Arabidopsis thaliana: one gene and its partner. The protein of the gene in region 1 interacts with the protein of each later gene in a biochemical or structural test. Each region holds a gene or a part of one and is shown in the gene's direction. Other genes may lie near its edges. The genes, in order: AT5G10020 and AT1G14390.

Region 1 (6,646 bases):
CTGTTTTTGCAGTCCCCATTCATTAACCGATACTATGGAAAGGCTCATGAAGTCCTTTGAGATCAGATGATCAGATGTTTGAGAAGCCAGAAAGCTTTTCTTGGAAGCTTCAGCAGAAATCAAAGTTATTTTTAATCACAGGTGCTCTCAGAAACTCTTTGAGCTTTTATAGTTATTAAGCCAAGTTTGTAGGACAAAATGTCTTTTACTTTTATGAGTTTGTATTCTCCTCGGGAGTACTTGAGATCTTAGAAGAGTCACGGGAACCCAATTCTTTTTGCGGAAAATCGAGACAGCTTTTTATCTCTCTATGCTTTAAGTTTTTCTTAAATTGCAATGGCATTTCTCACATTACTTTAGACTCTAGACGATTATGCTAATTATAAGAAAAGTAAGAGTATTTTAGTGGGGGTTTTCCAACTAGTTGTCAAAGTTTCGACAATAACAAAATGGTATTATTTAGTTGGACCCAATAATATATTATATGAAAGAGAGATGGACAGACATAGACAAAATATAATAAGTTTGGCATCTTTCATTTTATGGTTAGAGAAAATGACATTCTAAAAGGAGCAAATAAATAGACTACTCAAGAGTTATAATGTTTATATATATATTTGTATTATCATTAAAATTCGCGACAAGGAGATATATATTCCAAGTGGGAATGTATAAATCAATCAGTCAAACAGTGCCATAAATCTTCAAAAAGCTTATTAACCTTAGGGTAGTCAAGTTATTTATTTATTTTTGCATGAAATGTCAATAATTTATGTTTTGTCAACTAATTATTTAAATTAAAATAGCAAATTATGGTCATATTTAGCTAATTTACACAGAATAATGTATGTGATTAGGGGAAAAAAAATAGACAGGTTGGTCCGGAAGAGTAGTAGTAATTGAGTATGACAGACCACGTTCTTCTCTTATTTAGTATCTCCGTTCCCGTTTAAGGAGTAGTACAGTGTACGGACAAAGAACTTAACGGCGTTACTTACAATATCCCCGTCACGTTGTGTTGCATGTGAGAAAAAGGGTTTGGGTGCGAATTTTCTTCATCTTCAGAAAAGAGAAAAAAAAAGAAAAGACACAGCGACTCAAAGACATGCCATTGTCCTTTCCAGTCTGTTTTTTTACTTATCTGCAAAGTGCAAACTAATCATATATTATTCCACCACTTCTCTTCCTCTCTTTTCACCTTTTAAAAAAATAATATTTATTGTTATATCCTTTTAAACAAATATTTTGGGTTGGTACTTGTACTCATATCCTGGTTTTGAATCTACCGGTTTTGGTATCATTAACTACGTCAAGTTAATTATGTTTCCTAAACTAGTATATGTAATAACAAAGATGATAAATGCTGATAAGTGATAATGACTTGACGCAATTAGTGTAACAAAATGTAATGACACATCTAACAACTCTTTTTCATTTAAAGTAGTCTTTTTTTCACGGTATGATTGATTTTAAGTAAAACCTTTGAACAATAGTCACTGGTCTTCTAAGATGGTTTCCCCAAAACACCTTTTTGAGTCCATTTTATGTGGTTTGGTTACTTATTTGAATGTCAGAGAATATTCAAAAGAGATCACACTATGGTCTATGTAAAAACATAAGTTTTTTTAACATGAGAGAAAAAAAAACTGGTAGTCAGGTTACCAAAAAAGAAAAAAGAACTAGAGAGAGTAATCACTAATCAGTAATTATAGATTCCATTAACAAAAAATTGATTCCATTAACTAGAGTAAAAGTAGGTAAAGAGAAAACTCATAATTCCTAAAATGATAAAAGTTTTTAAAATATCTGAACTTTAAATTGGAAACTAGTATTAATCTCTGATTGCATAGAAAAAAATGTCATACCATAAAGAAGTATAAGAAAACTAATATAAAAATTCGATTTTTTTTTGGAAAACCTCAAAAACACACTCTTCTCTCTCTCTTCTTCTTCTTCCCCTCTTTCAATTTTTTTCAGATTCCGAGTACAATCCCTAAATCTCCGTCTCTCTGTTTCTCTCTTCTCTCAAGTCTCAGCTATGAATCCTTACTAGGGTTTATTCTTTCTGTGTTTCTCACTCTGCATTTGCTTCTGTGGAGTAGATAGATTCTTCAGGGCTAAATGAGTCATTTTCTCACTTTCTGCTTCCTCTCACTCCTTCTCCTCCTCCACGGTGCCAACGCCGTCACCGAGACGGAGCTCCGATCTCTACTCGAGTTCCGTAAAGGGATCCGTGACGAGACCTCACACCAACGAATCTCATGGTCAGATACAAGCAGCCTCACTGATCCATCTACTTGCCCTAATGACTGGCCTGGTATCTCTTGCGACCCTGAAACCGGTTCAATCATCGCCATTAATCTCGACCGTCGTGGTCTCTCCGGCGAACTCAAATTCAGCACTCTCTCTGGTCTTACTCGTCTTCGTAACCTCTCTTTATCCGGAAACAGCTTCTCGGGTCGGGTCGTTCCTTCATTGGGTGGAATCTCGTCGCTTCAACACTTAGATCTGTCGGATAACGGTTTCTACGGACCTATACCGGGTCGGATCTCGGAGCTTTGGAGTTTGAATCATCTCAATTTGTCTTCCAACAAGTTCGAAGGTGGGTTTCCTAGTGGCTTTCGGAATCTTCAGCAGCTAAGATCTTTGGATTTGCATAAGAACGAGATTTGGGGAGATGTTGGTGAGATTTTCACTGAGCTTAAGAATGTTGAGTTCGTTGATTTGAGCTGTAACCGTTTCAACGGTGGCTTATCTTTACCAATGGAGAACATTTCCAGCATTTCCAACACTCTCCGTCACTTGAATTTGAGCCACAATGCGTTAAATGGCAAGTTTTTCAGTGAGGAGTCCATTGGTTCGTTCAAGAATCTCGAGATTGTTGACTTAGAGAATAACCAGATCAATGGTGAGTTACCGCATTTTGGATCACAGCCGAGTTTGAGAATATTGAAGCTTGCTCGTAACGAGTTGTTCGGTTTAGTACCTCAAGAGTTGTTGCAGAGTTCGATTCCTTTGCTAGAGCTAGATCTAAGTCGAAACGGTTTTACAGGTTAATTCAAATCTTACAACTTTTCTCTTCTTGCTACTTTTAGGGTATACAGGAATAGAATTATTGAACTTTATGTCATTGAGCATTGATTTGACTGGTTTCATGGTCTTGACTAGACACTTGTGTCACATTGTCTGAAGCTGTTGTATAAATGTATATTAAAGGAGTTTCTTTTGGTTCAAATGCAGGATCAATTAGTGAAATCAATTCATCAACGTTAACTATGTTGAATCTTTCTTCTAACGGCCTGTCTGGGGATCTTCCGTCGAGTTTTAAAAGTTGCTCAGTGATAGATTTGAGTGGGAATACTTTCTCTGGCGACGTGTCTGTTGTTCAAAAGTGGGAAGCTACTCCAGATGTTCTTGATCTTAGCTCAAACAACTTGTCGGGAAGCTTGCCGAACTTTACTTCTGCATTTTCAAGATTAAGTGTGTTGAGCATTAGGAATAATTCTGTCTCTGGTAGCTTGCCTTCTCTGTGGGGTGATTCTCAATTCTCTGTGATTGATCTCAGTTCAAATAAGTTCAGTGGCTTCATTCCAGTGAGTTTCTTCACTTTTGCAAGCTTGAGAAGTTTGAATCTTTCTAGGAATAACTTGGAGGGGCCAATTCCTTTTCGAGGTTCACGTGCAAGCGAACTTTTGGTTCTAAATTCTTATCCGCAGATGGAGTTACTTGACCTTTCAACCAATTCTTTGACGGGTATGCTGCCTGGGGATATAGGTACAATGGAAAAAATTAAAGTGCTGAATCTTGCCAATAATAAGCTGTCCGGGGAACTTCCAAGCGACCTCAACAAGCTTAGTGGCCTTTTGTTCCTTGACTTGTCAAACAATACTTTCAAGGGTCAAATTCCCAATAAGCTTCCTTCCCAAATGGTGGGATTCAATGTGTCGTATAACGACCTATCAGGCATAATTCCGGAAGACCTTAGAAGCTACCCGCCTTCTTCATTTTATCCTGGTAACTCCAAGCTAAGTCTCCCAGGACGGATTCCAGCGGATTCTTCTGGTGATCTGTCTTTACCTGGGAAAAAACATCATTCGAAGCTTAGCATAAGAATAGCGATTATTGTTGCTTCAGTTGGAGCTGCTATTATGATTCTTTTTGTCTTGTTTGCCTATCATCGAACACAGCTCAAGGACTTTCACGGGAGGAATAGATTTACAGACCAAGCAACGACTAGAGACACCAAGTTTGGACGCTCTTCTCGTCCCTCCTTATTCAACTTCAGCTCAAATGTTGAGCAGCAGTCATCATCTTTGAGCTTCTCAAACGATCACTTGCTCACCGCAAATTCAAGGTCGTTATCTGGGATACCCGGATGTGAAGCTGAAATATCCGAGCAGGGTGCGCCTGCTACTTCTGCTCCTACAAACCTCCTTGATGATTATCCTGCAGCATCTGGGCGCAAGTCTTCTTCAGGAGGCTCCCCACTATCCTCCTCACCCCGTTTTAGCGACCAGCCTGTGATGTTAGATGTTTACTCACCTGATAGATTGGCCGGAGAACTCTTCTTCTTAGACGTTTCACTAAAACTCACAGCAGAAGAGTTATCCCGAGCTCCTGCAGAAGTTCTAGGTAGAAGCAGCCATGGAACACTGTACAAAGCAACACTGGATAATGGACACATGTTGACGGTGAAATGGTTGAGAGTTGGCCTCGTGAGGCATAAGAAAGATTTCGCACGGGAAGCCAAAAAAATCGGCTCTTTAAAACATCCTAACATTGTTCCGTTGCGAGCATACTATTGGGGTCCCAGAGAACAAGAAAGACTTCTCCTGTCTGATTACCTGAGAGGAGAGAGCTTAGCCATGCATCTTTACGGTTAGAAGATCTTTTAATTAGTCTTTTTAGTCCTATAACTACAAGCCTTTCTGTATCTTGTTTGAAAAAAAGTTAATCACCCTGCCAAATTTTCTGTGCAGAGACTACTCCTCGGAGGTATTCTCCAATGTCCTTCAGCCAAAGACTAAAAGTTGCAGTTGAAGTGGCTCAGTGTCTTCTCTACCTTCATGATAGAGCAATGCCACACGGGAACTTGAAGCCAACTAACATAATCCTCTCAAGTCCTGACAATACCGTGCGAATAACTGATTACTGTGTTCACCGTTTGATGACTCCATCTGGTGTAGCGGAACAGATACTAAACATGAGTGCACTCGGTTACTCTGCTCCTGAACTTTCCTCGGCTTCCAAACCGATACCAACACTCAAATCCGATGTCTATGCGTTTGGTGTGATTCTCATGGAGCTTTTGACTAGACGGAGCGCAGGTGACATAATCTCAGGTCAAACAGGAGCCGTTGATCTGACCGATTGGGTGAGGTTGTGTGATCAAGAAGGAAGGAGAATGGATTGCATAGACAGAGACATAGCAGGTGGGGAAGAGTTCTCAAAGGGAATGGAGGATGCACTTGCTGTTGCAATCAGGTGCATTCTCTCTGTCAATGAAAGGCCTAACATCAGACAAGTTCTTGATCATCTTACTTCAATTTCTGCCTGAGATTTGTTTGTTTTTTTATCTCTTCTAAATTTTTCTGTAAATCTCCATGGATTTCCTTTCACACATCATCCCATTTTTTCTTCTTCTTTTCTGGTTTTATGTTTCTCTCTAGTAGTTTGATCAGATGATTCAGAATGATCCTCAGGTGTTCTTACATTTATTTTTTGTTGATTATTTTTCCCCTTCCTTGTAAAGGTAGAAGAAAATCTAATCCCATTGATTCTGACAGAAACATTTGTGTTTGCTTATTGATTCTTTTTTTTATAAATTGTTTTTTTTATCTCTTTTCGACTATATATGATTCACATTGATTTTTGTAATTTTCACTAATGTCTTTTTATTTATTCCCCTTCCCCCATTCTATTATTACATATTTTGTTAAATAATTTTACCATGGTTATAAATCAAGTTCGTAATGTCACATTAAAATCATATATACCACAAGCTTATCTATAATATTACATACAAAAAAAAAAGAACAACCATCGAAAAGTTGGTTTCTAAAAAGCTATAAACTTTACGTTGCTGATCATATGTACAACTTTCCTCAAACATTTCCTTTAGCCGCAAGACAAGATTCATCATCACACAGCAGCTTGTGTTATTGCTCTTGTTCTTGACCCAAAAATCCACTCACCAGCAAACTCCATTCTTGATTGTTAAGGTCTCAAACCTTTCTTGACATCTAAACACCTTAATTACGTTGGTTCACGTTGCCTAGCCGCCCAACTCGAACTCAAAGCTCGAAGCCTTTGGAAATACTCCCCTAATGCTAACAAACCTCTAGCCGCTTGTCGCGTGGTTAAGATCCGATGCATCTGTTGCAATGTCTCATGTCTCAGATGATCAGCCTACAACAACAAAACAGTTTAAGAACAACAACAAACTCAAGAAACTAGTTGTTATCCTTCGTTAGTTTTTGTAAAAACATTTCTTTCTTACTTGATTTACAAAGCTGACCAAAGCCTCCAATCTCTCCATAGCACAAGTCATTTGAGGAATATAACTTCCTTCACCAAGTTTCCCGGCTGCTACACTCTCTGCTAATGTATGTTGCAGTTTCTCCATACCTTGGGATAACGCATCTTC
Region 2 (5,522 bases), on another chromosome or scaffold:
CTAAACTACAGTGTAAACTTTATGATATTTTTTTTTTTCTGAATTTATTCAACTATATGCTATATAATTTGGGTAATTTATTTTGAACATGCCTAATTTATATGGACCTAAAGATGCATATTTTGGGCCTTAAATTAGTTGGATACATATATGGGTTTAAATTCTAACCTTTAATAAGCCTATAAGCCCAAAAAATAACAGTTTGTAAGTTATCTGACAAAGGATTTTAATAATAAAGCTGCATATAAAATTGAAAAGAAATGCATGTTGTATAATATTAATTGATACTTTGGCAGTGTCGCTTATTACAAAGGCAGTTGCATGTGATGTGCTTGCAAACTCGCATTTTATCTTCCCTTACCTTTTTGTTTTTAGAAAATAGTATATTTTTTCATCATGATTACTTGGAAACTTGGAAGCTGTGACAAAATATTGGTTTTGAGTGCTTCTGATAAAACCTTGTATTTTGAACTTGAAAACTTTTGTTTTCAGCCATTTTTTTAACTTACTACGATGACGGTCACTTGTTTTGGGATGAAACTTTTTACTACTTGGTGTTGGTGATGCATGGTTTCTATAATTCCTCTTATACAACAAAACTTTTTTGGTTTTTGTCAAAAATTGTATATAACCAACCTTCTTTTTATTAGGATCGCACGTCAGGCCACTTAAAAAGAAGTAAAGAACAATGAGAGATCGATGTAAAAAGAATAAAGGAACAAAAGAGAAAGTAATGGACAGTTCATCACAATTCACACACCAAAAAGAAAACAGCTGAACATTTGTTAGAATCTCAACACTTTCCAAACACACGAAAACAAAATGACACTCATTTCTCACCGACAATAGTGATGAAAATATATCATGGCCGAACTAATTGGTAGTATTATTAGTTTGAGATTGGTATTTTTTGTAACAGTTTGATATTGAATTGTTGATTGATGACCACGAGAAAAAAGAAGTACGATTTATATCATTTGTTGGTTTACTGTATATAGATGATCATTTGGTGTCCTTCTGGTTTCGAGAAAAACAACAAGTGGTTAAAAGTGTAGTTCGAGAAAAAGATTTGGTTAGGACATGTAATTCTTTATTTGAGCTTTTAATCCAACGAACGGGGTTAGATTTTCCTTGCGACGGTGGCTTTGGATGATCCTTAACGGCACGATCTGATCATTACATATTTACATTGACGAAAGAGCACGTGTAAAAAAACTCGTTCACTGGTCTGGTTGACTTTTATTACATACTGTCTGGTCGCTATATATCTATCAAATCTCTATGCATTAACAATTAATGCAACGTTGCTCATTAATTAAGTATGTATTTTTTGTTATTTTACAAGTAGTATTGATATTACAGGAGTTAAAATGTTATAAAAGAAACTACAAACATTTATTCGTAAGTTTATTCATTTATATTTTTTAAAAAATTGGTAAAGATGAAAGAATTTACCTTGGGGAAGAGATCAACGGATTTCGAGAGAAGTACTACTACACAACATTTATTCGTCAAACATGTATGTATTTGTATGTTTATGCATGTATTATGTATCAAATAAATGCATGTTATATGAGTAATAAAGAAAGGTCTTCTGACCATAACAGAGAAATTAATTAAGAACCAGTTGAAGTAAATAAATAACTCTAAATTGTGGAAATTTTAGATCAAAAGTAGATAAATAGTCAGATATTTCATGTGGATTTTACGTATTTTAAGGATCTAATTCATTTTATGCTTTTAAAAAATTTCATTCACTTTCTTCGAAGCAGTAAAACAGTCTGTCAATGTGAAACTTATGAACAATCAACATAAGAAACAAAAATTAAACAAAATTTGTATTTATTGTCTTCTTCTCAGCAGAACTTCTCTCCACTTAATTTTGTTTCTTGCTCTGTCCCAAAAACATTGTTTCATTTTTTTATCTCCCAATTTCCCTAGAAAATCTGCTTCCGATCTAAAAAAATCTCTAGAATTTATGTACAAAACACCATTTTTTTAGACTACTAAACAAATACTAACACTAATCTCGGCTACAATAACAGAAAGACCTTCTGTTCCTTAAGCCACAATAACATCTTTCTTTCTAATTTCTCTGTAATTCTTCCTGAGAGAATGCATAGTTCCTCTAAAAGCCAGGCCTTTTCTCTCACTTTTCTTCTCTTTCTTTTTCTTCTGCCATCAGTCTCAGAATCACAGCTAATATCAAGTGAATCAAGAACTCTATTAGAAATCCAAAAGCATTTACAATATCCACCAACTCTTCGATCATGGAGCAACTGGACCAATTTCTGCTACCTCCCTTCTTCTCCTTCTTTCAAAATCCTCTGTTTCAATGGTCATGTAACTGAATTAACCGTCACGGGGAACAGAACCGTTAAGCTCCCCGGAAGATTCTCAAGCGACTCACTATTCACTGTTCTTACAAAACTCTCAAACTTAAAGACATTGTCTCTGGTCTCTCTTGGCATCTCTGGTCCTCTCCCTTCACAGATCATCAGGTTATCTTCATCTCTTCAATCTCTGAATCTCAGTTCTAATTTCATCTCTGGGAATATTCCTAAAGAGATCTCGTCGTTGAAGAATCTGAGAAGTCTTGTTCTAGCGAACAATTTGTTTAACGGAAGTGTTCCTGATCTCAGAGGATTGTCGAATCTTCAAGAGCTGAATTTAGGCGGTAATAAACTCGGTCCTGAAGTTGTTCCTTCACTTGCAAGTAACTTGATTACTATTTCATTGAAGAACAACTCTTTTGGATCAAAGATTCCAGAACAGATCAAGAAGCTGAATAAGCTTCAGAGCTTAGATCTTTCCTCCAACAAGTTCACTGGCTCAATCCCAAGATTCCTGCTTTCGCTTCCTTCGCTTCAGAATCTAAGTTTAGCACAAAACTTGCTGAGTGGATCACTTCCAAATTCATCGTTGTGCAACTCCAAGCTTAGAATTTTAGATGTTTCTCGGAATCTTCTGACTGGGAAGCTTCCATCTTGCTTCTCTTCCAAGAAACAGACAGTACTGCTCTTCACATTCAATTGCTTGTCTATAAATGGTTCTCCTTCTGCAAAGTATCAGCGTCCAGTTACCTTCTGTGAAAACGAAGCAAAGCAAGCAGTAGCTGCTGTGAAGTCTGACACTAAAGATAAAGAAAGGAAAGAAGAAGATACAGGAATCGAACTTGGATTGGTGATTGGCATTATCATCGGTGTGATCCTCGTTTCAGCGGTTTTAGCTGGCTTGGTTTTGGTTAGGATGAGAAAATCAAGATCAAAAGAAGAGCCTTTGGAAGCAAACAACGTCGATCAGGTCACTGTTTGCAGCAACACCACCAGGTCCACCACATCAAAGACAGTACCAGATCTAAGTAGGCTATTACTTTGAAATCTTGAATCAAGTTTTCACACCCATTAACCTAACTAGCTTGATTTTTTCAAATGCAGGACGTGTACCGCAAACCATGAGATCCGCGGTGATTGGACTATCACCATACCGAGTTTTCTCTTTGGAGGAACTGGAAGAAGCAACCAACAATTTTGATGCAGAGAATCTCTGTGGAGAACAGGTAAAGGAAAATGTAAATAAGACATGATTTAAAATTGATCCGAGTGTCTAACTAATCGATATATCTAATTTCAAAACAGCTGTACAAAGGTTGTCTTAGAGAAGGCATAGCAGTGACAGTGAGGTGTATTAAGCTGAAACAGAAGAATTCAACACAGAATTTAGCTCAACAAATGGAAGTTTTATCAAAGCTAAGGCATATGCATTTGGTCAGTGTTCTTGGACACTGCATTGGTACTTATCAAGATCATCATCCTTATGCCGGAAGCACTATTTTCATTGTCCAAGAATATATCTCTAACGGGTCTTTGAGGGATTACCTCACCGGTAATACTTGAAAAAGATTATCGATTTCAAGAACTTATATTTTTGTTGGGAAACTAATTATTTGGAAATGTTTTTGGCAGATTGGAGAAAGAAAGAGGTGTTGAAATGGCCTCAGAGAATGTCGATAGCGATTGGAGTTGCTCGAGGAATACAGTTCTTGCACACAGGAGTGGCACCAGGAATATTTGGGAACAATTTGGAAATAGAGAATGTTTTACTTGATGAAACACTCACTGTAAAACTCAGTGGTTATAGTATTCCTTTACCATCCAAGGTATATAAACAAACCAGATATAATATAATCAGGATATAGCTTCTAATCTTCAGTTTAACCTCTCATGAAATATATAACCTTCTGGGGGAATTTCAGGTTGGAGCGGAGAGCCCTAGTAATGAAGATGGAGAGAAAGAAGATGTGTACCAGTTTGGAGTGATACTAATTCAGATCATCACAGGCAAAGTAATAGCAGCTGCATCTTCAGAGTTGGGGAGCTTGAAGCTTCAGCTGGAGAACAGTTTGAGAGACGAACCATCGGTGTTGCGTAGCTTGGCAGATCCGTGTGTGAGAGGAACATATGCATACGAGTCATTGAGAACCACAGTAGAGTTTGCCATTAACTGTCTTTGTGAAGATCAGAGGAAGCGGCCATCGATAGAGGATGTTGTATGGAATCTGCAGTACACAATTCAAGTGCAACAAGGATGGACAAGCAGTGAGAACCTCGGGCTTGGTGGTTCAGAACTATAGAAGAGAAATATAAAATCACCATCCTTGAAGAACATAGAGAAACTGATCAATGTCAAATTCAAGGCCTATATGAGAATACATAAAGTTGAACCTACTAATACTTAAGGTACTTACGAGTCTCATGTGAAGCTTCAGATTTTGGTGTAGAAATTGGATTAGCGTCACAAAGAAAGCAATGCAATTGTTAAGGCAATGAAAGGGTGTAACAGAAGGATAAGGCCACAAACCCTTAAATAAAATATCGCAACTTTGTGGAATTTGGGTACAAAGTTGTTTTTTGTAGCTAGCAAGTAAATCGTAATACATATATACACAAAAGTGAATAATTCAGATGGTTTGGTACAAAGTTGTTTTTTTAAGGATGTTGGGTTACATCAAAGCATGGAATCACTTAAATAGTTTTGGAAACACAAGACATGAATGAAAAGAGAAGAAAGCTGTTGCTGAATCGTGATTGAGAGAAAGTAGAGAGAGCTACAACGCTTACAACAAACTACTACTAGTCAGCAGTCCAGCTTTGCTCAACAACATCACGCACTCTCCTGTTGTACTCGCGCTTGCTTTCGCTGTACATCCGAGCAGCTTCCGAGTTTGCAGGAGAATTCGGATTAGGGTCACAGAGCAAGGACTGCAATAACAAAGGGAAAAACGGATTAGAGAAGAAGAAAGCAATTCAAGCTTTTAAGGGCATCAAGAGATGTTCATATGGCATTTTGAATTCACCTGGATGGAGGTAAGTATAGCAGCAACATCATAGATTGGACTCCACTGGTTTTGTAGAATGTCCAAGCAGATACTCCCATCTGCATAAACTACACAACGAATAGAGCAGAAGAACGTTAATTGGAGGCAAAAGCTGAACATCAACCAGGTGGATAGAAAATCCAAT

Evidence for each region.
Region 2: the proteins of AT5G10020 (region 1) and AT1G14390 form a complex in vitro, tested with the Arabidopsis thaliana proteins (one large-scale study listed by BioGRID).

What each region holds. Positions count from the first base shown.
Region 1 is NC_003076.8:3,131,393-3,138,038, forward strand, and holds AT5G10020 (Leucine-rich receptor-like protein kinase family protein), read left to right. Parts: upstream 1-1,851; 5' UTR 1,852-2,121; coding exon 2,122-3,052; intron 3,053-3,240; coding exon 3,241-4,878; intron 4,879-4,979; coding exon 4,980-5,557; 3' UTR 5,558-5,850; downstream 5,851-6,646. Other genes in the region: AT5G10010 (myosin-H heavy protein), read left to right, coding at 13-60; TGA4 (TGACG motif-binding factor 4), read right to left, coding at 6,256-6,408, 6,500-6,646.
Region 2 is NC_003070.9:4,922,162-4,927,683, forward strand, and holds AT1G14390 (Leucine-rich repeat protein kinase family protein), read left to right. Parts: upstream 1-1,875; 5' UTR 1,876-2,115; coding exon 2,116-3,361; intron 3,362-3,437; coding exon 3,438-3,559; intron 3,560-3,638; coding exon 3,639-3,885; intron 3,886-3,965; coding exon 3,966-4,159; intron 4,160-4,255; coding exon 4,256-4,633; 3' UTR 4,634-4,753; downstream 4,754-5,522. Other genes in the region: UBC1 (ubiquitin carrier protein 1), read right to left, coding at 5,133-5,261, 5,357-5,445.